4 linked regions of the Alligator mississippiensis genome follow. The main gene of each other region encodes a partner of the protein of the gene in region 3 in a complex. Links are inferred from orthologs where the notes say so. Each region holds a gene or a part of one and is shown on either strand. Other genes may lie near its edges. The genes, in order: B9 domain-containing protein 1, TMEM216, TMEM237 and B9D2.

The links.
Region 1: TMEM237 (region 3) and B9 domain-containing protein 1 share a complex: the UniProt entries of both Homo sapiens proteins name them as parts of the tectonic-like complex. The link is inferred for Alligator mississippiensis from reciprocal best matches to the Homo sapiens genes TMEM237 and B9D1.
Region 2: TMEM237 (region 3) and TMEM216 share a complex: the UniProt entries of both Homo sapiens proteins name them as parts of the tectonic-like complex. The link is inferred for Alligator mississippiensis from reciprocal best matches to the Homo sapiens genes TMEM237 and TMEM216.
Region 4: TMEM237 (region 3) and B9D2 share a complex: the UniProt entries of both Homo sapiens proteins name them as parts of the tectonic-like complex. The link is inferred for Alligator mississippiensis from reciprocal best matches to the Homo sapiens genes TMEM237 and B9D2.

What each region holds. Positions count from the first base shown.
Region 1 is NC_081836.1:55,341,149-55,348,809, forward strand, and holds the start of B9 domain-containing protein 1, read right to left. Parts: upstream 3,019-7,661; 5' UTR 2,975-3,018; coding exon 2,909-2,974; intron 1-2,908. UniProt on the Homo sapiens protein: Component of the tectonic-like complex, a complex localized at the transition zone of primary cilia and acting as a barrier that prevents diffusion of transmembrane proteins between the cilia and plasma membranes.
Region 2 is NC_081825.1:177,624,826-177,631,779, forward strand, and holds the start of TMEM216 (transmembrane protein 216), read left to right. Parts: upstream 1-3,954; 5' UTR 3,955-4,042; coding exon 4,043-4,055; intron 4,056-4,377; exon of another isoform or gene 4,378-5,025; intron 5,026-5,719; coding exon 5,720-5,821; intron 5,822-6,232; coding exon 6,233-6,325; intron 6,326-6,699; coding exon 6,700-6,901; intron 6,902-6,954. Other genes in the region: TMEM138 (transmembrane protein 138), read left to right, coding at 256-386, 462-633, 2,819-2,894, 3,179-3,291. UniProt on the Homo sapiens protein: Part of the tectonic-like complex which is required for tissue-specific ciliogenesis and may regulate ciliary membrane composition.
Region 3 is NC_081827.1:170,806,885-170,814,422, reverse strand, and holds the start of TMEM237 (transmembrane protein 237), read left to right. Parts: upstream 1-4,536; coding exon 4,537-4,555; intron 4,556-7,538. UniProt on the Homo sapiens protein: Component of the transition zone in primary cilia. Required for ciliogenesis.
Region 4 is NC_081838.1:1,541,097-1,548,272, reverse strand, and holds B9D2 (B9 domain-containing protein 2), read left to right. Parts: upstream 1-4,170; 5' UTR 4,171-4,590; intron 4,591-5,024; 5' UTR 5,025-5,027; coding exon 5,028-5,115; intron 5,116-5,543; coding exon 5,544-5,669; intron 5,670-5,752; coding exon 5,753-6,066; 3' UTR 6,067-6,676; downstream 6,677-7,176. Other genes in the region: BCKDHA (2-oxoisovalerate dehydrogenase subunit alpha, mitochondrial), read right to left, coding at 2-181, 745-810; EXOSC5 (exosome complex component RRP46), read left to right, coding at 1,281-1,377, 1,454-1,567, 1,770-1,891, 2,046-2,186, 2,394-2,483, 2,641-2,733. UniProt on the Homo sapiens protein: Component of the tectonic-like complex, a complex localized at the transition zone of primary cilia and acting as a barrier that prevents diffusion of transmembrane proteins between the cilia and plasma membranes.

The sequences.
Region 1 (7,661 bases), on a different chromosome or scaffold from region 3:
TGGCGCCACTGTTTAGGAAAAGGAAAAAAGCAGGATCCAGGGAACTACAGACCAGTCAGCCTCATCTCAGTCCCTGGAAAAATCAAGGAGCAGGTCCTCAAGGAATCCATTTCTAAGCACTTGGAGGAGAAGAAGGTGATCAGGAACAGTCAGCATGGATTCACCAGGGGTAAGTCATGTCTGACCAACCTGATTGCCTTGTTTGACAAGGTGACTGACTCTGTGGATGTGGGGAGACCGGTGGATGTGGTGTACCTTGATTTTAGCAAGGCTTTTGATACGGTTTCCCACAACATTCCCGCAGGCAAGCTAAGGAAGTCATGGGCTGGATGAATGGACTGCAAGGTGGATAGAAAACTCGCTGGAGCATCAGGCTTAATGGCTCGATGTCTAGTTGGCAGCCGGTATCAAGTGCAGTGCCCCAGGGGTTGTTCCCAGGGCTGGTTTTGTTCAATGTCTTCATTGACCTGGAAGGTGACATAGAGCACACCTTTGGCAAGTTTGTGGATGACACCAAACTGGGGGGAGTAGTAGATATGCTGGAGGGTAGGACTAGGATTCAGAGAGACCTCGACAAATCGGAGGACTAGAGCAAAAGAAATCTCATGAAGTTGAACAAGGACAAGTGCAAAGTCCTGCATTTAGGACTGAACAATCCCATGCACTGGTGCAGGCTGGGGGTGACTGGCTGGGCAGCTGCTCTGCAGAAAAGGACCTGGGGGTGACAGCGGACAATAAGCTGGATATGAGCCAGCAATGTGCCCTTGGTGCCAAGAAGGCTACCGGCATCCTGGGCTGCGTTGGTAGGAGCATTGCCAGCAGGATGGAGGGCAGTGATTCTTCCCCTCTAGTCAGCACTGGGGAGGCCACATCTGGAGTCCGGTGTCCAGTTTTGGGGCCCCCACTACAGAAGGGATGTGGACAAGTTGGAGTCTAGCGAAGGGCAACAAAAATGGTTCAGGAGCTTGGGGACAGGACTGGTGAGAAGAGGCTGAAGGAAATGGGCTGATTGAGTCTGCAGAAGAGAAGACTGAGGGGGATTGAACAGCAGCCTTCACCTCCCTGCAGGGGGGCTGCAAAGAGGATGGAGCTGGGCTGGTCTCAGTGGGGGCAGATGACAGGACAAGGAGCAACAGGCTCTAGTTGCAGCAAGGGGAGTTCAGGTTAGATATTTGGAAGATTTTTCTCCCTAGGAGGGTAGTAAAGCACTGAACAGGTGACCCAGAGAGGTGGTGGAGTCTCCATCCTTGGGGATTTTCAAAACCTGGCTAGACATTGCTTTGGCTGGGATGCTGTAGTTGGGGCTGGTCCTACTTTGAGCAGGGGGTTGCACTAGCTGTGCCGTCCTGAGCTCCCTCCCAACCCTAACTTTCTATGATTCTACGATCATCTCAGGGAAATGCATGATTTCAAGTTTGTGAACAGCTGACCAATTTATCCTGGGACAAAGCCTTTTATCCTGGCATTCTCCCTTGCTTGCTCCAAGGGCCTTATGGCTAAGGGCAAGCAAAACTCGGGGGCATCCGAACCCCCAGCCTCCGGGCTTGGGTCTGCCATTGGGATGCCCACCAAAGGATTTGGAAACATCTGAAGCCCCAGGTGCAGGTGGAGGATGTTTGCCAGTAGTAGGACCACTTATGGTTCTGCACTCTTGGATTTGGAATTAGTTTTGGCTAATTTGGCCTTGGATACAAATTTTAAATATATCTGTAGGATGCCAGGATTTATTTTATATATATATATAATTTTTTTTATATATATATATATATATATATATATATATATATATATATATATAAAATAAATCCTGGCATCCTACAGATTTACAAGCTCCTCGTCCCATATTAAGCACCTGTCAAGTCTTTGAGGGTAATAAACAGATGACAGGTTTAATCCACGGCTGATAGATTTGACTCGCATTAAAACTGATTCGCCTGAGATTTGACTCACGTTAAAAGATGTAGCTCAGCTGTCTGAACACCAGGGTTAAATGGCAATGAACTTGAATTAGCTGCGAGCGTCCCAAGGCCAAGCATTAATTTGGACGCTTCCTGCGTACTTGATGTGGACGAACGGCCAGTCCCGCTGGGGTTGCCTGAGAAATGCTGAAATCTGAATCTAATCGGTTGTCTAATCAGTAGCCCAGAGGAGCCCTTTCCCCCCGGATGATCGGGGCTAGTTCGAGCTCATTGCCATTACTCTTTGGGTCATGTTACAGACAAGGCTCATTGGGTAAATCCGGTATCTTTTATTAGACCAAATGGAAGACATGGAACAATTTTTCTTTGCAAACTTTCGGGTGCAAACCCCCTTCTTTGGGTCACCGTGCAGCCGGGGTGAGTGCAGGGGTGGGATATGTCTGGGGACAAAGTCCTGGATCGGACTTGCCGTCCAGATGCTTCCCACAGACGTCAAGGGGGCTCATCCCTTTGCATGATCCTGGGAGAAAAGAATTTATCCCGGGGCAAATCCCACCTGGTGGGTAAAACACGCCACCAATAATGGGGTGATGCCCCTCCCACCCTTGCCCCCTGCCCAGGGCGCCCCCTCCACCCTGCTGCCCAACTTGGTGCATGCTCTCTGCATTCCAGCCCAGCAGGGGGCGCAATAGCGCATGCGCTCTGCGCAAGCTCCTCCCCCCCACTCGTGCCCCGCAGAGGATGCAATGACGCATGCGTTCTCCAGGGAACCGGACCCGTGAGCACTAACCCAGCAGAGGGCGCAACAGCGCATGTGCTCTGCAGAGGCTCGGCGTCCTGCCCGGCACAGGGTGCAATGGCGCATGCGCTCTGCGGGGAGTCGGGGACATCAGCCTACAGGGGGCGCCCCGAGGAAGGGGGCGGTCACCCCAGACTCCAACGTGGGGGGGGGGGGGGGTGTAATGGCGCATGAGTGCAGCCGCACTTACCTGGGCGCTCTCGATCTGCCCCGTCACCATGAGTAGGAAGACGCTGGGGCTGGCGGCAGCGGCCATAGCGGCGGGCGGCCCGCCCCGGCTCGTTGCTAAGGGCCGCTGTCGCGCCGCTCCTTAGATACCGGACGGCGAGGCGCAGGGGACACACTTCCTCGCGGGCGGCGCTGCGCCAAAGGGGCGGGGCCAGCGCCGGGGCTGGAGCGCTCTGCCCTGCTGCGGGCTGTCCGGAGCGCTTCGCAATCAAACCCCGCCTGGCTTCGCTTCGCTTCGCTTCGCTTCGCTTTGCTTTGCTTTTCTATAGAAAAAGTGAAACCTGAGCTGGTCCCTTTTTTTGTATCTTTGTTTTTTGTTTTTACTAGAAAAAGTGAAACCTGAGCTGGTCCCTTTTGGGGTATTTTTTGGGTTTTTTAAAGTGAAACCTGAGGCTGGTCCCTTTTGTGGTTTTTTTTGTTTTGTTTTGTTTTTTAGGAGTTTTTTTTTTTAAACTAGAAAAAGTGAATGTGAAGCTGGTCCCTTTTGTGTGTTTGTTTTGTTGTTGTTGCTTTTTACTAGACAGTGTGAAACCTGGGCTGGTCCCTTTCCGGTTTTTGTTTTTTGGGGTTTTTTTTTTTGTTTTTTACTAGAAAAAGTAAAACCCAAGGCTGGTCCCTTTTGGGATTTTTGTTTTGTTTGGTTTTTTTTTGTTTTGGTTTTTTACTAGAAACAGTGAAACCCGAGGCAGGTTTTCCTAGAGTCAAAAAACCGCCCAAAACAAAACAAGAAGCAACCCCAAATGAAACCCAGGGCTGGCATTGTCGGAGTGTGACAAGCTTGGGGAGCAGGCGTACGGCTTTCCTCTGCCCCCAGATCCTAGGGAAAGCCTCTTCCACCTTCCTCAAGACGAGGTTGTCATTGCCAACCCTCCAGGACTGCCCTGGCATCTCCAGGAATTAGATATAAACCCCTAGGAGATGACTGAGAGTCGCTGGGAGGATAAATGAGAGGGCATTCATTCGGATAAATATGCAATGTTGAATCTGATTTGTACAGTAGTCCGGTGGGGTTTGTAAAATGTCAGCGTCCCGTGCACCGGCCTTCCGGACGTGAAGTCTGCGCACCGTAATGAATGTTGTCCCGTCACGGGATGAAACCTCCTGGAATAGATTCAAAGGAAGTTGGCACCCCTGCAGTCAAAACCCCTATTCTTCTTCACCAGGGAAGACCGCCTGCCGTTTCAAAACGCCTTGCCTCCCATCTGCTTTTCACAGAGCTCCTTCGGAAGCTGGAAATGGGGTGAAAATACCCCGCTGGTCGCCGGCTAGGATGGCAGAAGCTCTTCTGTCCAATTTAGATGATGGATTCATATAGGATGGGTCAGATAGGGATGATCCTGCCTCAGGATCCCTTGGTGACGTCTGGAGATCCCTTCCAGCCCGGCTTCTCTGTGAAGCAAGTTATTAAAAAATAGATACACTATTAAGAGAACGTAGAGGTGGCTGCGTGTTGTGTTTTTGAAGCCCACGCTGGAAACAAACTGGTTTTTCAAGGGGATCTGATGAGCTGGCTTTTGGGCTCTTTTGAGTCCCTGGAAACCTCCCTGTATCTCTGTTTCTGGACTCTGTCTCAGCCTTTTGCTAGGGGTTTATTTTGAAGTATTTCCTTGTTCTGGAAAACCAGATGAGTCCCTCGAGATGGTGGGCAGCCAGTGGAGAAGGCGAACCAGCACAGCTAACTCTAGGAGCCAGCACTAATCTACCTGGATGCATTCAGTAGGTGCGTCTACACATGCACAGTTACCGCACAATAATTTAGGTTACGGTGCAGTAACCGAAAATTACTGTGCAGTACGGGCACGTGTCTACACGTGCACGCCCGTACTGTGCAGTTACTATGGCGACTTAGGCTGACTTGGGTGTAAATTTGCTACTTGCATGATTGAGGTAGGAAATTTATGCCCAATTAGTTATTGCGCAGTAAGGCACGTGTAGTTGCCTTACTGTGCAGTAACACTGTGTGGACTGACTTGGGACTAACTTTAGTTAGTCTACACGTGCAGGTGTTACAGCATAGTAACGTTGTGCGTGGACTGACTTGGGACTAGCTTTAGTTAGTCTACACGTGCAGGCGTGTACGTGTGCAGGCGTTACAGCATAGTAACATTGTGTGTGGACTGACTCTGGACTAACTTTAGTCCCAAGTCAGTCCACACAGCCTTCCTACGCTGTAACGCCTGCACGTGTAGATGCTGGCCTAAAAACCGCTTACTGCGCAGTAACTTGCTGCACAGTACATGCACGTATAGACACGCCCAGTGTCTCTGTTCAGTTCGCTTGGCCTGTTCAAAAAGTCAGACTCGGGTTGAAAGGAAGTTTAAAGGTTGTCTCCACACAGTGGCATCCAAGAATGAAGCTTTAGGCGCGTCACACAGGCCTGGAACAAAGTGGGCATCGTGGGAGAAGTAGATTTGCTGGGAGAGGAGGAGAAAGGGCAAGTGCGTAGGTTGGGGCCAGGCAGAGAGAAGGCACTGTCTTGAAAGGAGTGGGCAGCCTCATCCCCCCACACCTTCAAAATCGACCCGTTCCTGCTTTCGGCACGCAGTGGCATGGTGCACCATAACTTCTGCCAGCTGTCCTGGGTTAAAGTTTAAAAACTGGAGGCCTAACTTGATCTCATGCCTTACTTACCCTGAGTGTCTAGACCACTGTCTACTGAATCTGCTTATATTTCACCTAAGCCACCATATACATACAAACCTGATCGTATATTCAAGTGCCGCAGGCCCCATCCAACGCATCTGGACACTGGGCTTGCCCTTAGACTTATTTATTCGACACATGGTGTAAACCTCTGATAAGAATCAGGTCAAGCAAATCCCATTTTGCTCTCCGATATCCAGTGGGCGGCTACAATCAGATCCGCAAGGCAGCGGCCTGACCGCATGAGAAACAAAACGTTCCTTGTACAAAACCCAGCCAGTTCTAGCAGGCGTCCAAGAGATGATTGCAAAATCTTTTGTTTCTGCCAGAGAAAAATAGCCTCGATGTTCACTTGGTTCCAAAACAAATATTTTGATTTGAAAATGTAACGTTCAGAGAATAAGCCTGTTTCTTTTGGACTTGCGGCACCTGAAAGAAAATCTAAACTTTGCTGCCGCATAAATAGGTAACGCTGCTGACTGCCACTAGATGCCACCAGCGGATTACCAGTTGTGGGGCTGCTCCTATCATTAAAAGGAAATATGGCTTACATTGCTGTTGAAAGAAAAGTTTAAAGGCACCACAATATTTTACAAGACAAAGAGGGCAGAGTAACTCTTAACCCTGCACGCTCACCATAACTGAACAGCGTTAGCTCAGGTTTTTGGAGATATTTAGGTGCTTAGCTCTCGCTGAACTCAGTGGGATTTAGGGGCGTAGAAACTTTGGAGAATCTCACTGTCCATATTTGAGCGCTTTAGGGAGCCATATAGTTAGGAGGGGGATTTGCACATTGGTCCAAGGAGACGATTTACAGTGCATTTCATGGGGGAGGACAGCTTAAGAAATGGATGAACACAACCACAGCTCCTTTAGCAGAACCTCTCATCCTGCAGAAGGGTGAAGTGCTGAGATGGGCTCGTTGCTGGGATCTGCTGAGACTATTGCTGAATGACGAGGGGAAGAGATATTGCTCCCCACCGGTGAGAAGTACCATCTTGGCTGAGAAGCTGGAGGCACTGACTGCTGAGGTTCCCAGTCTACTTGGAAAAGTTTTCCCAGCGATGATGGACGATACTGTGGGGGGAAAAATAAGTCACGTACATCTACATTTGCATCATGGTGCTGGCAAGAGCCCCAGTGTAGGGACATTTATACTTGCAGGATCGGGCCTTTGCCCATAGTCTAGTCAGGGAACTGGTATATTATACACCAGTAAAAGAACTGGTGTGCCTAAGTAGCTTCTCCCTGGGGTGTCTGGTTGGTACAGCTACTCCAGTTATCTTTTCCCAGCGTGAACAAGACCTCAGGCCTTTCCAGTCTGAACTCCAGTGCCAAGTCGGACCCCATAACAGCCCCGCATCCTTCACGGCTCGAGGACACAACATGCACCGGCCAGCACGTTTCAGCCATGCAGCCAGGCAAACATGAGATACGTGAGACGGCTCGTGTCCGCACGCAGGCAGGCTTTGCAAGCCACCTTAGCCAGATGAAACTTGGGGCAACCTGTCACCTCCAAGCTCTCGATTCCCAAACGGTTGCTAACCAGGGGTGCAAATTAGGGCAGCCTCCTACAAGGTCTCCTCTTATCAGACATCACAGTGCTGAGCACAGTGTGCGACGAGTGCAGGTGTCTACCACGCTCCCGCACCTTGCGGTCCTGAAAGCAAGTCAAGTACTCTTTGAGTTGCAGCACGTCCTAGCTGGAAGCATAATGACCCCGAGCGCTAAGTGCCCTTATGCCACGGGCAGCACTTCCTAAACCAAACTGGATCCATTCCCTAACCTCAGCGCCCACCAAAACCTTGCTGCAAAGAGAACGGGCTGTTGCCACCAAGAACCTGCCCCAGTCCCATGCTCCGTGCTGCGAAGGGGGCTCTCCTCACCCAACCCGTGCCTCCCACAAATTGGCAGATATCACCATTGAGTGAAACGATGGGGAACGGCCAAGGGAGGAAGGAACCGAGGTGCACCAGGCAACGAAGGGGAGATTTCAGGTGAGCGATGGAGCGATGCAGGCTGTTTCAGAAGGCAGGAAAGCAAGGCTTTTGGCCAACACTGCTGCAATGGCA
Region 2 (6,954 bases), on a different chromosome or scaffold from region 3:
GTCAGGCGAGTGAGGGCCCGTTGGGAGGGGGTGCCTGTGCGGAGACAGTGTCACGGGCACGGGGTAGGCAAGGGTCCCCCTCCTCCCCCCGGCCCAGGCCTTGCCAGGAATAACACCCACATCTCCCCCTCCCCCACCCCCCAGGCTCCGGGGCGCGTCCGTAGGGCGAGGCGGCGCAGGAGGCCCCGGGCCCCGGGAATGAGGTGGCTCCGCAGCCCGGAATGCAGCCACTGAGAACACGGCCCGCGGGGAAAGATGATGCTGCAGACCAGCAGCTACAGCATGGTGCTCTCCCTGCAGTTCCTGCTGCTCTTCTACGACCTCTTCGTCAACTCCTTCTCGGAGCTGCTGCGCGCTGCGCCCGTCATCCAGCTCGTGCTCTTCATGTGAGTGCCGGCAACCGGGGATGGCAGGGTCCCCACAGGTGCCTGGGAGTTCACCGCCCTCTCTCTCCCCCACAGCATCCAGGATATTGCCGTCCTCTTCAACGTCATCATCATCTTCCTCATGTTCTTCAACACTTTCGTCTTCCAGGCCGGCCTGGTCAACCTGCTGTTCCATAAGTTCAAAGGGACCATCATCCTGTCGGCAGTGTACCTGGCTCTGAGCATCTCCTTCCACATCTGGGTCATGGTAGGGCAGGACCGTGCCAGCTTCTGGGATCAGGGCGTCTCGCCAAGGGGCATAAGAATCCCTTATCTGTCTAGTCAGGGACTTCATCCTCCTCCAGAGCAGTTGAGCTCATCCAGCAGTACCTGACACCCTGCGGGATGAATCTGCCTCCTCTGGTAGCCCCCTCTGACAGTGCCTGATATCTACAGTTTCAGACGTAGGCCCCAGGATCTCCCTGTGGTGTACCCAGCCCGTTTTGGCCACCCGCTAGAGAGAACCTCTCCTGTGAAGTCTTGCCAGGCTGAAGCTGTGCTTGGATCCTACCCTGCCCTTTCAGTCTGAGAGGTCAGGACTCTTGCACCTTGGAAGGACCCCATGTCCCCGACTCACCTGGAGACACAGTGGGGCTACGAAAAGAATGAACTTGCATGTAGCCACGCAGTATCAGAGCCCCTGTGCCCCCAGGACCTCCCTGAACATGTTTGTCACACCTTGCTCCAAACAAGGGAGGAGCTCTGGAGCATTAGGGAAGAGAGTGCAAGTCCCTTTCCCTCCTGTCCTCCCAGAGGGCAGCAGCAGGGTTGGGGGGAGCTCCACTCTTGTCTCCCTTGTGACAGGGAGGATCTTGCTCTCCTCAGGTGCACAGAATCTTTCTTGGATGGGGCTAAGTTTGCTTCTCTACTCCCAGCATTGCGCTGCCACATCCCAGGAGGCTGAATGCAGGGCCAAGCAGAAACTCATACTGTCTGCCAGGTTCAGGGTGGGACATTCCTCCATTACTGAATGTCTGGCCAGCTACTGCTTTGGAGGGCATAATCCTGGTTGGGACTGCAAACTGATTGCTGGGGGTGCTTCCCAGGCTGGGTCCTGTGCTGTGACTGCAGGCAGGCTTTGCTGTCTAAGTCCAGGCCTTTCTTGGTGTCATAGTGAGAAAGGAGGCTGGGGCTGGGGGCAGTCACTCAACAGTTCAGGCATTGTACAGAGCTGAGAGGGTTTGTTGGTTCAAAATGTGAGGATTAGCCCACCTCCTCCCAGCAGCACTTGGAGGCCAGTGCCAGAGCAAGCAAAGGCATCGGTGCCAGAGCAAGCAGAGGCATTGGTGCCAGAGCAAGGCTGGCAGGGAAGCAGCTCTCCCAGTGGAGAAACAGAGGGTTTCCCTCCTGCCTGGAGGGTTATAGACCTGGCTGTCAGCTTGGCATCAGGTCATGCAAACCTGACAGCTGGGACTATTACTACTCCATGACTTTCTGTTCATGATGATCTTGCTCCATGGAGAACCAAAGCCAGTGCTAGACAGCACCCTCCTGACAGGGGCCAAGCTGCTGATTTCAGTGATCACTTGTGGGTGCTTTCTAAGTGGGATACGGTGAGGGAGTCATGTTTAAAAAGACAAGAGTTGTGAAATGGTTGTGGCTGGGAGTCCTCAGACTAGAAGGGAGTAGCCTGCCCTGGATGCTGGGCTGCTGCTGGCTCTGGTTCCCTGTAGTAACCAATTCTCCAAGTAAAGCTAATCCACTGTCAGAGTGGCTTGATGGCAGGTGTGATGTGTTGCATGGGATTACTGCCCTGGCAAGAGGTGCTGGAAAGCTATCCCAAGGCACAGCAGGGGGAGTGTGTGATGCACCCAAAACCACAGAGTAAGCAAACAGAAGAACTGAGGGTAGAACCCAGGTATCCTGTTTCATCCCTTCCCTCTGCCTGCATCCCTGTTCCTAGACCATAGCCCCACTGCTCTGAGGTGCCTTTTGCCTAGATCAGGTGAGGGCTTCTGCATTGTGGGTGCTGCCTGTGGCTCTGCCTGGACAGGGTGATTTAAGAGGATTCCCAGAGAGATGCTTCCAGGCTGATCTCTGATTAACCTCTGCATGCTTCGAGAGCTGCTCCCTGGCTGTTCTGCTCTGTGTCTACAATCAGAATGGGCTTAGAGACAGACAGTTATTCTTGCAGGGAAAGGGATCAGGGCAGTGGAGGGATTTTTCACCCTGCTTGCCCACTAGGGGGCACCAACTGGCTCTGGGAAGCTGACACAGCTGCCTTTCACTGAGGAGCTGCAGTTAGTGTGACATAAGTTGAAGGCTGAACAAAGCCTGGAGGGGGAGCTGTGGCCCTTTAGAAGAGACCCAGTAGGCAGTGCTGTGGTCTGGCACTGGGCTTATGTCCCCCCCACCCAAGGCCTCTGCTCCTGGTGTATGTGTGTCTCTTTCAGAACCTGCGCTGGAAGGACTCCAATGGCTTCGTGTGGACAGATGGGCTGCAGGCACTCTTCGTGTTCCAGAGGCTGGGTAAGGGCTGGAGGCAGACTGATGCAGGGCAGAGGGATGGACAGACATGCAGGGAGCCATTAACAGCCCTCCCTGCACACACAGCACAGCTACTGTGCTGTCAGTGGGGTGGGCTATGGTGCCCCCAGCCTGGGATTGGGGGTTAAGACACAGTGTTTGGCCAGGCTCCCAGTTCTGTCTGGGGGCATGAGGCCTCCCAGCACACTGGTGTGCCCCTTTAGGCAGTGGGGGTGGGGTAGCTCTGGCCTGCTGGGCTTGCTCTCACCCACTCTCGCTCCCACCAGCGGCTGTGCTGTATTACTACTTCTACAAGAGGACTGCTGTGCACCTGGGTGACCCCCGCTTCTACCAGGACTCCATGTGGCTGCGCAAAGAGTTTGCTCAGATCCGCACCTGATGATCCTCTCAGGCACTGGACTTGGGGATGGTCTGCCCACTAGTTCTGCACCTCGCTGCTCAGCACCCTCCAAGAGAGGCGGACAGTCACCCTCGAGGCCAGCACCTCAATGCTGCATCTGCCCCTCACTCGCACCCCTCCGCTCCTTCTCCCCGCCGGAGAGTGTGGACCACTCCCAGCCCTGCTCTGGCCCTAGCTGCTGCCTCCTCATGCACTGACGCGAAGGGCCAGATGTGTGTGATTGTGCCCTGCTGGCACCGCAGCTGCCCTTTCTCATCCCCCTGCCTGTCACTCGCCCTTCAGCTCCGGGCACCTGCTAGCAGCAGCTCCCACGCCCGTTCCACTTGGTGTCCTGGGCAGGCCGAGGCTGGCTGTACGGCCCTGGGGCCTCTCTGCCCTCATTAGCCTGTCCTTTTGTACCCCGTTTTATAAACGAGCAGAAAATTAAAAAGGCTCCATTTTCCAAAACCTGGTGCTGTGTGTGTGCATGCAGGCGAGTCTCCAGGGTGCTGGCCTGCCATACTCTCAGTGGCTACTGTCGCAGGAGGCCAGAGGCTGAATCCCCTGCTCTGGCTGCGGCCCCCCAGCCTGGCCGCGGCCGGGGAAAGAAGTCTCAGTGGCCGCCCCGGGGGGGGGGGGTGTCACGTGACTCCGAGCGGGTCCTCCAGAGGCGGAGCGGCGGGCTGCTCGCCAGCCCCCGCGCTCCCGGAAGCGCCGGCGCTGCGTGCCATGGTTTCCATGGAGATGGAAGATGGCGCCCAGAAGTAAGTGCGGGGGGCGCGGGACCAGGCCGAGCTCCCCCAGCCTCCGCGGGGGTCACGTGACCCTTCTGGGCCCGCCCTACTGGCCCCCCCCGCAGGTCCAGTGGCCAAAGCCCCCGGGAGCAGCCCCCGGCGCTGGGCAGTGATGGGGGGGGCCCTGCCCTTGAGCGGAGAAAGGCAGAGCAAGACCCGGGGCGTGATGTCGGAGCTGGGCGCGGCGGCTGCAAACGGGGCGCGGGCTGCCCCTGGGAGGGGCTTGTGTCCGGTCCTAGCTCCGGAGCCCGGCCGGGCGAGGACCCTGCGACAGCACCAGGCAGTTGTAAGGAGGAGGGCGGACCAGCTGCTGAACCTCCTTTGTGGCGCCAACGTCTGTTAGGGGGGCAGCTCCCAGCCTCAGCACAGAGCAGCCCCTCGCTGCAAAGCGCTGACAGGCCAAACGGGCAGCGAGAGCGGTGGGTTATGTTATCCCTAGCTTAGCAAGAGGAAACAGGGAGTAACTTGGGATCAGATGTGTCTAACGCAATTTCTTTGCAGATGGGGGTGTGGAGGGAATCATTTGGTTACAGTCTGATGTCTTGAATGGCGGAGGCTAGAGGACCTCCCCCCCACAACAGTGTTTTGAACCAGAACGGGTCTCAAAGAAACCCCTTGGCCTTGGTTTAGCAGCAGCTGGGGAGGTAGAAGCTGGGGGAAAGCTGTTCCAACGGTTACTTGCCTTCACTGCTCGAGACATGCACCTTATTTCCAGGCTAATGGTGGCAGGCTTCAACTTCCAGCCCCAGGAGCTTGTGTGTTTGTTCGCGGCCAGGATGCTGAGGTTGAGAGCTAGGCCTATCATTACACAGCGATGGTGGTCCCAGGCTCATCAGGAACTACAGGCCCCCTCAGTGGGTGGAGAGCAGCCACTACATGAAGGATGACTAAGTGTTTTGGATAAGGGATGAAAGCACAGGAACGGGAGCACAGGTCAGAGGTTGGTAAGGAGGGCGCCGAGAGAGATCACTGAGCAGGAAACGCCAGTTATTGCCCGCTGCCCCTTGAGTGGATCCAGGGAGTCTGTGGATGCTGCTTAGGGACGTTCTTCTCAGAGGCATGCGTGGGCAAGGAAGGCACCCCAGTTCCCCTTGGCCAGCACCTTCTTTCTGGCCGGGAATGGGAGTCTGGTCCCAGCTCTGCCATAGATCTGAAGGCAAGTTGCTTCACTTCTATGGGCCTCAGTTTCCCTACCTGTAATATGGGGGCAGCTGCCTTCCTTCACAAAGTGCTTTGGGACCAGCAGATGAACAGGGCTAGAGTAGGGAGCCCGTCACATTGGTTTGTTCCTCACCCACTGCCGGGGTGTTAGCACCAGGCCCTTTGAAGACCTCGTTAGGTCCCTACTTGCATTTTAGGATGCTGAGGAGCCTTTTAACACCAGCCCTCAGCAACCTGCCCAGTTCCCATGGAGCTGGGGATGGAGGAGCATCCTAGATTCCTTGCACACCAGGGCCTTCACCACCTTTCCTCTTGTTCAGCCCCATGCATTTGATGCCCCCAGAGAGCCATGCAGCTCCTCAGCCAAGAAGGAGGGAGCAGCATCTTGGGAAAATATATATGACCCTTTCCTCCTCCTTGCTAAGGTGCCTTACCTGTTCATGCTCTGCTTGCTTTCTCCACCCACCCCCCAGGTCGCCAGCTCTCCTCCACCCCATTGGAAATCCTGCTGTTCCTCAATGGTTGGTATTACGCGACCTACTTCCTCCTGGAGATCTTCATATTTGTCTATAAGGGTAAGAGACCTTCCCAGGCGCTTGTATGTGCTGTAGCCCACCACTGATTGCATTGGACATCAGATGCTGCCCACAGGCTGATGGAAGAGCGACAGAATGAGCTGACCCCTGCATACTTAGAGGCTTCCCTAGCACCGCTCCAGCCCATCCATCTACATCAGTGGCCCCAGCCCCCTGCAAGACTGCACCTGAGCAGGGAGGGGTGGGAGAAAGCCAGAAACTTTGCAGTTTGGCTCAGGCAGGAGCTGTTAGACAGCCTGTCTTCCCTGGGCTTTGTAACCTCTCTGACCACTGGCACATCCCTAGGGCTTATCAGTTTATTCAGTGGGTAAGGGACAGTGGCACCCCAGAGAAAAAGGGTGGGGGTGTGGCCTTGCTCTCCTCCTGAAAGGGATGGCCTTTGTGCCACAGGGCTGCTGTTACCTTACCCATCTGCCAACCTGGCCCTGGACCTGGTCATGCTCTTCCTCTACCTTGGCATCGAAGTCACACGGATATTTTTTGGTGAGTATTTAGGAAGAACAGGGCCAGGTGCCACCTCATGGTAAGAGCCTGGGGTGGGCTTGGGCTGGTGACAAGCAGTTGTCAAACAAGTGGCTTTTGGTCCCCACCACAGGGTCACTGTCCTAAAGCAAAGGGGCTCCTCACTTCAGCCAATTGGGCGCCCAACAAGAACCCAACTGGGCATCCAACAAGAACCAATACCATAGGGAGGAATCTCCCCGTACCACATTCCTGGCCTGTGGCCAGTGCCCTAGAGGCAAAGAACCTTTTACCCGATTCCCGGGCTCCGTGGGCAGGCAGATCCTGAGCACCACCTCTTTGTAGGGAACGACACGGGCTGTGCATGAGATGCTCACAGCCACATTTCATGACAGGCTCCAAGGGGAACCTGTGCCAGCGGAAGGTGCCACTCTCCATCAGCCTGGCCCTGACCTTCCCAGCGGCTGTGATGGCAGCCTACTACCTGCTGCTGCAGACCTATGCCCTGCGCCTGGAGGCCATCCTTAATGCCATCCTGCTGCTCTTCTATGCTGTGGAGCTGCTCCTGGGCATCCTCACCCTGGCCTCCTTCTCCAGGTAACTGTTCCTCTGCTGTAGGGGGAAATGAGATGGGTAGGGGAGGAAGACCC
Region 3 (7,538 bases):
CTTCTTCTTGGCAACAAGGGTACACTGTTGTTGGCTCATATTCAGCGTATTGTCCACTGTAACTCCCAGGTCCATCTCTGCAGAGCTGCTGCCTTGCCAATCTGTCCCTAGCCTGTACTGGTGCATGGGTGTGTTCCATCTGTAGCACAGGACTTTGCATTTGTCCTTATTGAACCTCATGAGATTTATTTTGGTCCAATCCTTCAATTTGTCTAGGTGTCTCTGAATCCTAATCTAACCCTCCAACATATTTACTATTACCCCCAGCTTGATGTCTTCTGCAAACTTGCTGTGGGTGAACTCTATGCCATCTTCCAGGTCATTGATGAAGATATTAAACAAAACTGGCCTCAGGATCGACCCCTGGGGCACTCTGCTTGATACTGGCTGGTAACATTGAGCCATTGACTGCTACCCTCTGTCCCTCATGATATGGCCAGTTTTCTATCCAACCTGTACTTCCTTTCATCCAGCCCGTACTTCTTTCGCTTGCCTGTGAGAATATTGTGGGAGACCATATCAAAAGCCTTGCTAAAATCAAGGTATACCACATCCACTTGTCTCCCTGCATCCACAGAGCCAGCCATCTCATCATAGAAAGCAGTCAGATTGGTTAGGCATGACTTGCCCTTGGTGAATCCATGCTGACTTTTCCTAATCACCTTCTTCTCCAAGTGCTTAGAAATTAATTCCTTGAGGATCTGCTCCATGATTTTTCCAGGGACTGGGGTGAAGCCGACTGGTCTGTAGTTCCCTGGATCCTTCTTTTCCTCTTAAAGATGGGCACTATATTTTCCCTTTTCTAACCATCTGGGATCTCTCCCGATCCCCATGAGTTTTCAAAGATGATGGCCAGTGGCTCTGTAATCACTAACTCCCTTGGCACCCTCAGGTGCATTCCATCTGGTCCCATGTACTTGTACACATCCAGCTTTACTAAGTAGTTCATAACTTGTTCTTTCACCACTAAGGGATGCTCACCTCCTCCTCAGACTATGCTGCCAGGTGCAGTAATCTGGGAATTGACCTTGCCTGGGAAGACTGAGGTGAAAAAGACATTGAGCACTTCAGCCTTTTCTGCATCTTCTGTCACAAGGTTGTCTCCCCCATTCAGTAAGCGACCCACACTTTCCCTGATCCTCCACTTGCTAATGACATACTTGTAGAAACCCTTCTTGTTACCCTTCGTGTCCCTTGCTAGCTGCATCTCCAGTTGTGCTTTGGCCTTCCTGACTTCATCCCTGCATGCTCAAGCAATACTTTTATACTCTTCCCTAGTTGTTTGTCTGAGTTTCCACTTACAAGTTTCCTTTTTGTGATTTAGTTTACTGAAGAGTTCCCAGCTAAGCCAAGCTGGTCTTCTGTCATACTTGCTAGGTTTCCTGCACATCGGGATGGTTTGTTCCTGCACTATCATTAAGATTTCTTTAAAGTACAACCAGCTCTCCTGTACTCCTCTCCCCCTTCAACTGGCTTCCCAGGGGATCGTGCTCATGAGTTCCCTGAGCAACTCAAAGTTTGCTTTTCTGAAGTGCAGGGTCCTTAGTCTGCTGCTATCCATCCTTCCTTTCCTCAAGATCCTGAACTCAGTCATCTCGTGGTTGCTGCTGCCCTAGTTGCCGTCCATTACTACATTTCCCCACCAATTCTTTCCTGTTTGTGAGCAGCAGATCAAAAGGAGCACAGCCCTTAGTTGGCCACTCCAGCATTTGCACCATTTAAAAAACTTCCTGGATTGCCTGTGCATTGCTGTATTGTCCTCCCAGCAGATGTCAGGGTGATTGAAGTCTCCCATATATAACAGTATGGAATATTTTATAACCTGAATACATTAGAACCGTTTCTGTTTGCGAATGAGATTTTGTTTTGTTGTTTGATCTCCTGAGGAATATCTGACAAATGCATATGCTGCAGTCTAGTAGATAACAGTATATATTGTGCAGAGTTGGCAAATGAAGTTGTTTTGAAATTTTTCAGATTTTAGTTTTTAAAAACCTAATAATGATTATATGTGCATAAAAAGCTATGACTGATTGTGGGGTTATACTCTGCCAACATTTTTGCTAAGCTTCCTGTTGGAATTGTCCAACAAGAAGAGTAAGTAGCAGCTGGCTTCATGGATCTTGATGGGAGGGTGTTTGTATCCACTGCCATATAAATTGTATTTGCTTTCAGTCTACCTTCTAACATAGATAAAATCTAGGATAGGGACATGAGGTCAAATCCATCTTCACACTAGTCTCACTTGCTTCAGTTAAATTAGCATAGCTAAAGTTTACTCATGTAAATAAAGGAGTGGTTCTCAATATTTTTAGACTCAAGGACCCCCTGGAGAGACTAGAGGCATGCCTTGGAGAATGTCAGCTCTTAGTTTTTACTCTTTGCCTACAGAAAACTAGTGTGTGTATGTGTGTGTGGGGGGGGAAGGTTCTGTTGCAAAGAAATCAAAAAGATCATAGCTATGGATTTCTGTTTGAAATCTCTGGGTTTATGTTGTGAGTCAAGTTTGAAAACCTAACAATGCCTAACATTGTGTGGCACCCCACAGCCTCCTTGAAAGGATCTTGAGATTGCCACAGCCCCTGCTTTGAATCACTGGTAAAGAATCAGGGTGTCAAGGTCTTGCATTTTTAGTTGTACGCAGTAATAACAGCCCCATTGCTGCTCCTAGTGGAAGCTGATGGCAGAACTCTTATTGACTTCAGTGTGAGTAGTATCGGGTCCTAAATTGGGGACAGCGAGGTTCACATACAGTTAATCTTGTCTGGGAAGCTTATTTTTAGTGCTGAATTAGCTGACGATCAATGTAAGCAGTGTCAGAGGGAATAGTTTAGTGTCTCTCTCAGGGACCAGCTTTAAATGACATGGGAAAGAAGCAAGTGGTAAGTTCAGTTTGGAGGAACTTTGCCTTGTTTCATTTTTGTGGGGCTTTTATTTAAATTTAAGTTTTTATCTGGAGCGTGGAGTAGTTTTCCCTTTTGTCTAGTACACTAAGACAATAAATAATCTGAATCTAAGCTGTTTTACTCTTCTAGGTAAGAGAATTATCAAGTGTGTGGGCTATACACCTGCTATTCTGTCAACAAGAAATATTTTTCTTTGAGTGTTAATTCTGTTTTCCCTTATGGTCATGATCTTCACCACTGTGAAAATATTCTGTTTTATTGAACATTTTATAATATTAAACAGTCTAGTCGGCATTTTAACAACAGTCAGGACTATCTCACTGCCCTTGTTTGTACTTCTAAATGTAAGATTTCATTGGTGATTCCTATAATTGTTCTTGATATAATATAAAAATATATTGATATTAAATGCCTACTTTCAGCAGTGTTCTTCTATTGTGTTCAGTACCTGACTAGAATGATAAATTGTCTTTCCTATGCATGTAGTTTTCTTATAAAAAGGTGAAGGTATTTAAAGAGTACTGTTACCACTTAGATGGTTATAGTTTATCTAAAATATAGCACGTATCAGAACTGAGGCATTGACGCAAAATATGTACCAGACACTGCTTTACAATTCTACATCTTAACTTCCATCCAGTGATCTCAAAACATATTTGTGAATTGTTTATACATACAGTGTTCAGAATTGCCTTTCGGAAGACTATCGATGTAGCCTATGTTAGAGACATCTAACATAATATCATTCCAAGGTCATACTTGGAATTAGCTGTTTTCTCTGAAATAATTTAGTAGGGGCTCAAAAGGTAAAAGATTTCATGACACACTAATGGAAGGTTTTTGTCTTTTCTGTTTCAGCGTCCACCCCGTGCCCTTCCTCCTGTGCCAAGGTAGGTTTATTTTATTCTATGTATTTTGGTAGTTTGGGAACACTGGAATGTACTTGAAAATTATGAAATTAAGAAAGATGAGTGCAGTAAACACATAAGGCACTCATAATGCTGTTAAATGATTTAGCAAAATCTCACTAAGGTGACAAATATTGCTCTCTCTTTGTTTTAATTTTTTACTGAATAAAATTTTAACGTAATTTAAGAGTAGATCTATCATTTTTTAAAACTAAAATTAAGGCTTTTTCCTTTTATAAATCTAATTATATTATATTTTCACACTTCACCAAAGAAATTTGCTATAGACTACATTGTTATACAAGATTTTACCTTAGCAGCAAATAATTGTAACTACTTTTTTAAAAAGTACCTTTAAAAATGGGCAAGTGGTAGGACAGTGTAAGGGCCTTGTTGTATGTTACACTGTGAGCTGCTCAAATGTTGATTGGTGTTACTGCTAGCTTGAATTTGGGGCAGTCGCACATTCAGGCGAACAGGGGCCTGGAGGACTGAGAAGTAAGAATCCTCCCCTCCCAATTTGGGGTTCCCACCTCCCAACCCCTCCTCTTACTTGTGGCTGCTGTCTATCCCAGGGGAGCAGACAGGGAAGGGTTAACCCACCTACCTACCTGCCTGCCCCCCTCTCCTCCCCTTTGCTGCTCTTCTCAGGGCTGAGCCTAGCCCAGGGAGCAAGGACTGGCAGGCAGATTAACCTTTCCTTGCCTGCTTGCCCAGGACAGATGGTGTGGGCAGCCACAAGTAAGTGGGGGGAGCAGTCAGTGGGGATCTGAGGTGCTGGTGAGCACATAGCAGGGGCAGCATGCCTGATTCAGGCCAGCAGGGGAACTGGAGATTGGATGGGGTGTAACACTAATGTGTAGCCTAGAGTTGCTGTATGCATGTATAACACAAGTTAGGTGACACAGATCAGAGAAATATAGCCTGGAGTGGCATAACAAAGCCATCTAAAGCAGTGTTTCTCAACTCGTGGGTCGCAACCTAAAAGCAGGTAGCAAGAATATATAAAAGGGTCATGAACAAACTTTAAAAATGGATTCTTCTTTAAAGGAGAAAAACATGGGAAACCATGACTTTTCCCTTGCAGGCTGGCAGAGTTCCAGTCTGCAAGGGGCTACTTGGTGCCCCCCACATGCTCACCCCCTGCTCCTCATGCTGTGGGTTGGGGCCTGGGGGCATGGAGCAGCGGGTTGGGAGCATGGGGCACCAGGGCGGGCCTGGCCATCCATGTTTACAAATGAGTCCTGGTCCAAAAAAGGTTGAGAACCACTGATCTAAAGAGTGCTTAAAACTAATTCCAGGTGTTAATGTGTTCAGGGGTTAAAAGCTCCAGGAGCTGCCTAAAATTAACGTATAACAAGGCCTTAACTTTGACTATCTAGAAGTTTAGGGGTATGGGTCCCTGCTACTCTTGTAAGACTTTTCATTTTTTAAAGAGACTGGGAAGCAGTTTAATTTGTTATATTACCTCATCATTTTGTGTTATTTGTTGGGGGAAAAACAGGTAAAAAGAAAAAAAGTCATAGACAAAAAGGCTACTTCAGTCTCACTAACTTATTTTCAGCCCCTTATCTTCCTCTTCCAAATGTCTCCTCTTGTCTATATTTTAGATTTTGAGAGCTTTGAGTAGAAACTTTTTTATCAGACTGGTGTCCAACATATCTTGAATATGGGAATAAGAATTTTCTGAATATGCCATATTGACACAGGAGTTGAAAAGATTTTATCCTTAAATTTCTATGTTCCATACATCAAGATAGGTTTTGATGGTAGGAATGGGAATTGGGCATTTTTATGGTCCGTTATGTCAAAATTCTTAAAAGTACTTGGAGGCGCATATACATTAGGGGTGTGCAAAGTGGGCCCCATTTGATTCAGGTTCAGATTTGGCCCAAATCAGGGACAGTGATTCGATTAGTTGATTCAGATCACTGTCCTTGATTTGATTCAGCCAAATCTGAATCTGAAGTTTCGATGCTGATTCAGGGAATCAGTGATTCGGACATAGACATAACTTTAAAAGTTTTTTCTACATACGTCGAGGTACCAGGCGTGACTTGTGATCGCTGCGATGCTGGGGTGCATGGAGCGTCCTACAGGAGTGTGGGGCGGGGGCGCTCCACGTGCTAGGCAGCGAACCCGGAAATGGACCGGAAGTACTTCTGGTTCATTTACAGGTCTGCTGGGGAGTGCTCTGGGGGGCCCCCCCACACCTTTCCCAGCTTGGCGATCGGCAATCAGCCATGGGGGGACCTTGGGTGCCCCCCCAGACCCAGGAGGCACTAGTTGCTGAGCTTATGGGGTGCAGGGGAGGGGGGGAGGCGCCTCCTGCGTGCTCCCCAGCGGACCTGGAAGTGGACCGGAAGTGCTTCTGATCCACTACCAGGACTGCTGCTAAGTACGCGAGCTGCCTGCTACCTAGAGATATGTAGAAAAAACATTTAAAGCTGTGTATATGTCCAAATCTCCGAATCTTTCTGAATCGATTTGGAGGGCTCCAATTTGAGTTGGAGAGATTAAAGGGTCCTCTGATTCGATTTGGAGATTTGGCCACTGAATCAAGCCAAATCTCTGCCAAATCAAATCAGGGACCAAAGCTTCACACAGCTGTAACATTGTACTCGTAAACATCACAGAGGAAACTGTGAATACTGATCATGAAATAGCTGCTTGCCTGACTAATTTATAGCTTCTTTCCTTGGTTCATGCATAGCAGACAGTCAGACAAGTTCTAATTAAATAGTCTAACAAAAGCTTTTAATTGTATCTACAGCTAACCAATCAAGAAACTGTACCTAGTCACATGAGGCAGACAAAATGTTCAGTCTTCGGTCTTGTTAAGCAGCCTTAATGTTGTCATATTTAAATGGTTGTAAAAAGTAAGGTTAAGGGATGTGAATAGACCATATACATTTTTATGCTTTAAGTCGGTTGCATTTTGAGTTTTAGTACAGTTCTGAATTGCAACTGATTTAACACTAATGTTCTTGTCCTTTAATATTGTTTTTTTCATGTTTCTTTCCAATATAATGGGAAAAAAACCTTGGAACTGAAGTGGAAACCATGGTGAGTTGGTTCATTGTTGACAAAACTCTGTCCATACAGAGTCCTTTTAGGTTTCTGTTTATTTTTCTTGGTTCTGTTTTTAATGTTAAATGTGTGAACTTCTAAAGTTTTGCCTAACAGCAGGTTGCTAACTATTATAAATTATTAAAGCTGCTTGCAAACACCCCCCCCCAGTACTATAATTTAAACTTGGTGCACTCCTGTGCCAAGCTCTGCATATGCCCAGAAGAGGCAGCGTGTTAGTTGGACCCGGCTCACTCAACATCTGTACAGATCAGGTGCTTTAGTGAGCTTTTTTAAATGTCTCCAAGCTGCCTAAGTGCTTTATGTGTTTGTGGACCAGATTCTTCAAAAGTATTAATTGCTTTTGATTGCCCAACATGAAACACTGGGGAAAATCCTCCTTTTCAGATGGAGAATGATTTAATTTGGAAAAGAAAAAAAATCAGCTATGCATTGCACAGGCTATACCTTACCATTGTCAATTCTGGTTGCCCTTTTCTGGATTGTATAATTCTCTGTTGTCTGTTTTGAGATGAGGTATCTAAACTTGGACTTTATGATCTAAATGAGTTTTATTATTCTTTAGAGCATCATTATAATATTTTCTTTCTTTTTAATGTACTATGGCAGGCCTAGCCTGGCTGGGAGGTCATAA
Region 4 (7,176 bases), on a different chromosome or scaffold from region 3:
CCTGGGGGTCCTGGCTGGGGTTGAGGATCTGGCCCTGGCGGTCCATGACGCGGTAGACGGGGATGCCAGCCAGCACGTTGGGCTGGATGAAGTCCAGCGTGTCCACGAAGGCGGCCGAGGCGCCGGGGAACTGGGGGCGCTCCGCCGGCGACGGGAACTCCTCCTGCTGCCTCGCGGCATGCTGGGAAGGGGCGCCGTTACCCATCAGGCCCCGCGGTGCCCCCCCCAGATGATGTCACGGGCCCCCCGAGCTGTGCGGGGAAGGGGTGGGCTCTGCCCTCCATCTACACCCGGGGGGGCTGGTGTTTGGGGCGGTCCCTGTGCCCCCCCCCCCCCCCCCCCGGCACCTCCTGGACCAGGGTGCCCTTGGGTGCGGCAATGTCAAGGCCGCGGGGAGGGGCCAGCTGGGGGAGGGGGGGCACGCCCCCGGTGCGGACCAATCAGTGGCCGAGGCTGGGGGGCGTGCTTGCCACCTGCCCCAGGATGGGGGGGCTGATACCCCTCTGAGCTGCCAGGGGGGCTAAAGCCAGCTCTGCCCCCCCCAAAACAGGGTGGGGGTAACTGCTGGGGGGGCAAAGCTCATCCCGCCCCCCCAGGAGAACCCCTGCCCCACCCCACTGTGGGAGGATTGCCTCCCCACACACGTGACACCCCCCTCGCGTGCCCCCCACCTAGGGGGGATGTGCCCCACCAGGCCCCGCCCCCGCCGAGGCCCCGCCCCGCAGGCCCCGCCCCCGCGCTCACCCCCGTGCGCAGTCCCCGCAGCTGCAGGAGGCGCAGGCCCCTCCGCATGCCACAGGCCGCCGCCATCTTGGTGCGGGCGCGGGGGCCGATGGGAGAAGGGGGAATGGGGGTGTCACCATAGCAACGGCGTGTCTCTGCCCTTTTAGGGAAGCCCCGCCCCCACGGTGGCCCCGCCCCATGCCTACGCGGTGTGCTGATTGGCTAACGAGGAACAACGCCACACCCTGTCAGGGAGAGGGGGCGTGGCTTCGCGCACCCCGCCGCGCTGATTGGCTGGGCCGCGCCCGGCCCCTCTGTCAGGGAGAGGGGCGGGGCCTGCACCCATTGGGCGCCGTGATTGGCAGGGGCGCGTGCTTCTCCGGCCTATCCGGGGTAGGGGCGCCCAAGAGGCGCATCCATTGGCTGCCGTGCGTTCCAGCCCCCCACCCGCCTCGAGGGGCGGGGACTGCGCGTAAGAGACGCTGCGATTGGGCAGGAGCCGCGTTGGGAAGGAGGGGAAGGCTGCCCCGGAAGCGGAAGCTGCGCGTGCGGGCGGCATGGGCTCGGAGCCGGAGCCGGGCTGCGCCCTGCGGCCCTTTGCCGTGGAGCAGGGGCTACTGTCGCGGCCCGACGGCTCCGCCGCCTTCGTGCAGGGTGCGGGGGCGGGGCTTCGAGCGTGGGGGCGGGGCTAAGGGCTTTCCCCGCCCCCGTTGACCCCGGTGCCCCGCAGGCGACACGTCGGTGCTGGCGGGCGTCTACGGCCCGGCCGAGGTGCGGAGCAGCCGCGAGAGCCCCGAGCGCGCCGCGCTGGACGTGCTGCTGCGGCCCAAAGTGGGGCTCCCCGGTGAGGTGACCCCTGACCCCGGGGTCATTCCCCGCCCTCCACCTCCGTGCCGTGGGGGGGAGGGCACGGGCTTCTCCCCATCACGTGACGGGGTGGGGGCGCCTACAGAGGCCTGGACACTTGGGTTTTGCACTGGGGGGTGATGCCCTCCCTGGAGGGTCACGGGGGGCGGGGCTTCCTGCTGACCCTTGACCCCCCGCAGGCGTGTTGGAGCGGAGCCGGGAGCAGATGGTGCGGCGCGCGTGCGAGGCGGCGCTGCTGGGCGAGCTGCACCCCCGCTCCTCCGTCACCCTCGTGCTGCAGGTCGTCAGCGACGCCGGCTCCGTATCCTGCCCTGGGGGGGGCAGAGATGCACCCCCCCTCGTCATCGTTCAACCTCGCCGGGCCCCCTGGGAAGGACGGGGGGTGGGGTGGGGGTGAGGCTGCTCTAACCGCTAGGCCCCGGGGACCGGGTCGTTGGCCTTGACCCCGGGCCCAGCTGCTGTCGTGCTGCCTGAACGCCGCCTGCCTGGCGCTGCTGGACGCGGGGCTGCCCCTGCGCTCGCTCTTCTGCGGGGTCACCTGCGCCCTCGCGCCCGACGGCGCCGTCGCTCTGGACCCCAGCGCCCGCCAGGAGAAGGTGGGGGGGGGTGTAAGGGATGGGGGAGCAGATGGGAGCCGGACGCCTGGATTCTCTGGGAGGGGGGCGATGCCTCGTGCGTGGAGTAAGGGGGGGGCCTAAAATCTAGGACGGGATCGCTCCTTGGTGTGAGGCTGCAGGAGGAAGGGGGGCTGCTGGGGGGCAGAGGGGAGCCTGCACGCCTGGGGTCACACTCTTGCCCCGCAGGAGGCCCGGGCGGTGCTGACCTTCGCCTTCGAGAGCACGGAGAAGAGGTTGCTGCTCTCCACCACGCGCGGGGCCTGCTCTGCCAAGGAGGTGAGCGCCCCCGTCGTCCCCGTTAGGCTGGGGGTGCTCGGCAATCCCAGCATGCCTTGGGTGGGGTCCTGTCTCCTGGGGGGGAGGGGCCTGGCTGCCTGCCTGCCTGCCTGTACTGGGGTCCTAGTGCAGCCCTGACCTCTATTCCTCCTCCCAGTTACACCAGTGCCTGGCTCTGGCTCAGCGCGCCACCGACACCATCTTCCAGTTCTACCGTGACTCGGCCAGAAGGAAGTTCTCCAAGAGCTGAGGCCCCTGCGGGGAGCCGGACCCCCGCAGACCCGGGGGGGGGGGGGGCAAGGACATGCCTCAGGGCAGCAATGGGCAGCTGAACTGAAGGTGGGGGGGGGCTGTGGGTCGGGAGTGAGGGGCAGCAGTGGGGGCGGAGGGGTGGGAGTGAGGGGTGCTTCCGCCCAGGGGCTACCCAGTGTTCTGGTGGGATGGGGGGGCCTGCTCTGGCATTGGGGTCCCCAAATAAAGAGCACACGGTCTGTGCTGTTGCCCCCCAGCACCCAAGCATCTGTCTTGTCCTTAATGACACATGTTTTTTGTGGTTGGTTACCTGTGTGTGTGTGTGTGTGTGTGTGTACACACGTATACTGGTGGCTTCCCCATCCCCGGGGGGGGGTGGTTCTCTCCACCTTTCCCTACCCCCACCCCCAGTCTTCCCCTTGGTTCTGGTCACGGGCAGGGGGCGGTGGGTTGGGGGTGAGGGGCACTGGCTGGACTGGGGGGCAGGGGCTGCCAGGGGGTGGTGGGACCTGTGCTCTCCACGGCTGCTGTGGCGCTTGGGGCGGGGGACCCGTTAGCTGCATTTAATGAGCTCTGGGGGTGTGGGCAGCATCCTATCAAGCCTCTGCCTAACAAGCCTGGCGCTGTGGCTGGGCTCTTCGTTTACCGACAGCCCCAGATCTGGCCCGGACCCCTCTCGAAGGCAGGGGTGGAGGCCCATAGGGCTGCCAGGCCGCAGAGCGAGGGTGCTACGTGCAGACCTATCTACCTCTGGGCCTGTGCTGCTGGGGCGCAAGGGAGGGGGAAGTAGGGCCCATCCGTGGCCCTCAGGGCATTGGCAGGGCACCTCGGGCTGCCAGCAAGGCTGTTGCTGGAAAACGTGTCCCCAGGGCCATGGCCTGCCCCAGGTGTACAGTGAGGGGCCGTGGCACCCCACAAAACAGCCACCCTGGGGCTGTGGCACCCCCGGGTGGCTGCCATGGGGCTGGGGCAGTTCCACGCTGGCCGCCCTGGAGCCATGATGCCCCTCTTAAGGCAGCTGAGACCTGTGGCTCCCTCACGGGGGTTTCCATGGCGCTGTGGTACCCTAAAGGTGACGGTGGTACTCTGGGGTGGCTGCGGTGGAGCTGTGGCACCCCCATGAGGGTGGTCATGCACGGCGGCATCCTAGAGTAGCTGCCCCTGGGCCCTGCCACACTCAATATGGCGGCGGAGCCCCTCCCCCGGGCCTGTGACCCACCCAAGATGGTGGCGCTCTCCTATTGCGGCCAATGCTGCTTTGCCACACCCAAGGTGGCGCTGCGCCCGGCCATCGTGCTCCCTTCCCACGATGGCGGCGCTCTCCGTGCGGCAGTTCGACCTCCTCAAGATGGCGGGCAGCGCTCTCTTCCCTTCCTCCCGCTCTCTTGGGCGGGGCTGCGAGTGATACGTCAGCGCGCTCGGTACTCCGACCAATCAGAAGCCGGCATTCCGCAGGGGCCTGCCCGGTTGCCGTGGCAGCGGCATCCGGAAGTGGTCCGGAGTGCAGGGGCGAGTGGAGTCCTGCGGGTGCAGGCGCACGTGTGTGCATAGGGTGAGGGTGCAAGAGGGGTGTGCAAGGGGCTTTGCGCGGTTAGTGTGCAAGGGCGTGTGCACAGGTTGAATATGTAAGGGACGTGCACGGGACAAGCGTGTAAAGGAGTGCGCATAGGGGGAGCGTGCCAGCGGGTACAACGGGCTGGGCCGGGTGTGTGTGCAAGGGTGTGTGTGTTGCCAGAGTATGTAAAGGAGTTGGCACGGTGAGTGTGCAAGGATGTGTGTCGGGTGAGTGTGCAATGGACTTTGCATAACTGCAAGAGGGGAGTCATCACGTAAAGCGTGCAAGGGGCTTTGCACGGTGAGTGGGTGAGGGGTTAGGCACAAGTGAAGCGTGCAAAGGGGCTGGCATGGGGTAAGTGTGCAAGGGGGCACGCGCAGGGTGGGTGAGCGAGCGAGTGCGCGTGGCGACATGCATGGGGGTTGTTACACTGAGTGTGCACAGAGTGAGTGTGCAAGGTAGGGGGTATGTGCGGGGGTGCAGACACAGGTGTGACAGATGTGTCCACATGTGCAAGCTGGCAGGGCCCCGGGGGGCACGGGGGGGGGGGCACAGGTCAAGGTACAGGGCAGTGGCTGGGGGGTGGGGGCAGGGGGTCGGTGTGCGGGGCGGGGCAGGGGGCCGCAGGGCAGTGGGTGGGGGCAGGGGTCAGGGTGCGGGGCAGTGGCTGGGCGTGGGGGGGGGGGCACCGGCAGCTCGTCCCCGGGGTGCTGAGCCGGGCGCGGGGTCCGCAGGCCATGGCCGAGCTGCACGTCATCGGTCAGATCGTGGGCGCCAGCGGCTTCCCCGGCACCAGCCTCTTCTGCAAGTGGGGCATCCACGCAGGTCGGTGCCCGCCCCCCCTCCCCCCCCCCCCCCAGTCTCGTGGCTCGGCTCAGCCTAATGAGGGGTGAGATGCCGGGAAGGGGGAGAGGGGGGCTTCCCGGATGCCTGGGCTCCTCGGGATGGGAGGGGTCCGCGGGCAAGGAGCAGGCGGAGGGGGGGGCCCAGACACCTGGGAGCGGAGGGGGCCGAGGGGTTGCAGGCCTGGGCTTTGCTCTCCCCCCCCCCAGCTAGCAGTGGGGTGTAGTGGTTAGAGCAGGGGGCTCAGACACCTGGGTTCTCTCCTGGACTTTAGGGCCTAGTGGTTGTTGGGGGGGGGGGTGAGGGGTTCCCTCCCCAGGCCCAGCAGAGGAGCAGGGCCTGGTGGTGGGAGCGTGGGGGCAGGTGGGGGGCGGGTGCCTGGGTCCCATCCGGCCGTGCCCCCCTGGCAGGCGGCGCCTGGAAGCTGCTGTCAGGGCTGCCGGAGGGGCAGACGCAGGTGGACCAGCCCCAGCTGGACGACGTGGCCTACTGGTGCCACCCCATTGACGTGCACTTCGCCACCAAGGGGCTGCAGGGTGAGAACCTGCCCCCCCCCGGGGGCATTTTGGGATGGGGGCGCAGGAGCCTGCCTAATCCCCTCTTGCCCCTGCCCCCTCAGGCTGGCCGCAGCTGCACCTGCAGGTGTGGCACCAGGACGGGTTTGGGCGCACGGAGCTGTACGGCTACGGCTGCCTGCACGTGCCAGCGGCGCCCGGCTGCCACACGATCGCCTGCCCCACGTGGCGCCCGCGGGGGTCGTGGCCCGAGCGCCTGGCACAGCGCTTCGTGGGGGGGGGCCCCCAGCTGCGCCAGCCCCAGGCTGCCGCCGCCGCGCCCGAGCGCCACCGCCTGCGCACCACCGCCGCCGGCACCGTGCACCTGCGCCTCGGCGTCCTGCCGCGCCACTTCGCCCGCTACGGCGTTGAGTGCTAGCACCACCCCCCCCCACGGGCGCTCCCTGAGGACCCCCAGAGTCCCCCTGACCCCCCAATGCCCCTCCTACCACCTGGGGCCCCCTATAAACCCCCCCTACAGATCCCCCCCACGGGATCTCCCTGTCCCTCTTACCCTCTGCCCCCCACAGCCCCCCCATGCTTGCCATGGCCTCTACCTGCATCCCCGTTCCCCTGTGGCTACACCTCCCCCCCCCCATACCCCTCTTACTCCCTGGCGCTTCCCAGAGACCCCCACGGCCCCCCGCTACTGCCCACAGGTTCCCCCTGCCCGCCCACTATCCCCTGGCCCCCCCACAGAGCCCCCCACAGTCATTCCCTGCCCCCATTCCCCTGGGGCCACACCCTCTGACCCCCTGAGGCTCCCCATGGACCCCCCGCGGGCCCCTCCTGCCCCCCCAGACCCACCCTGGAGGTTGGGAAGGCCGAGGGGCTGTGGCTGGGGGCGGACAGAGGCCCCCCCACCGCGCTGCTGGTCTTGGCGCTGATGTGGGGCCAGACCCCCCTGCACTAGGATTCCCTCCCGGCTCTGAGACCCCCCCATTTGTACAGACCCCCCCTCCTTTTTCTATAAAGGCTCTTTTGTACCACGAGGTCTCGGGGGGAGTTTGTCTCTGCCCAGAGGTTCCCCTGGGGCACCTCCTGCCCCCCAGGGGCAAAAGAAGCCCCCTCCACTAGCTGCCATGACCTCCGCGCTGCCCCACCAGGGGGCGCCCTGCTGCCGGCTCCCATCCCCCCTGTGCCCCCCATTCACCCCTGCCATGGCTGGGCAGAGACCCCCCCTCCCCCCCGCCCAGTCCCATGGCTCGGCTCAGCCTAACGAGGGGTCAGATGCCGGGAAGGGGGGCGGGGGGGGGCTTCCCGGATGCCTGGGAAGGGGAGGGGTCTGCGGGCAAGGAGCAGGGGGCAGACACCTGGGTCCTCTGGGAGAGGGGGGCGGGGCGAGGGGTTGGAGACCTGTCTTTGCCCCGCCCCCCGCTTGCAGTGGGGTGTAGTGGTTAGAGCAGGGGGCTGCCTGCTGGGCCCCGGGCCTAGTGGTTAGAGCGGGGGGGGGGAGGGCAGGAGCCCTGGGTTTCCCTGGGAGCTGCGG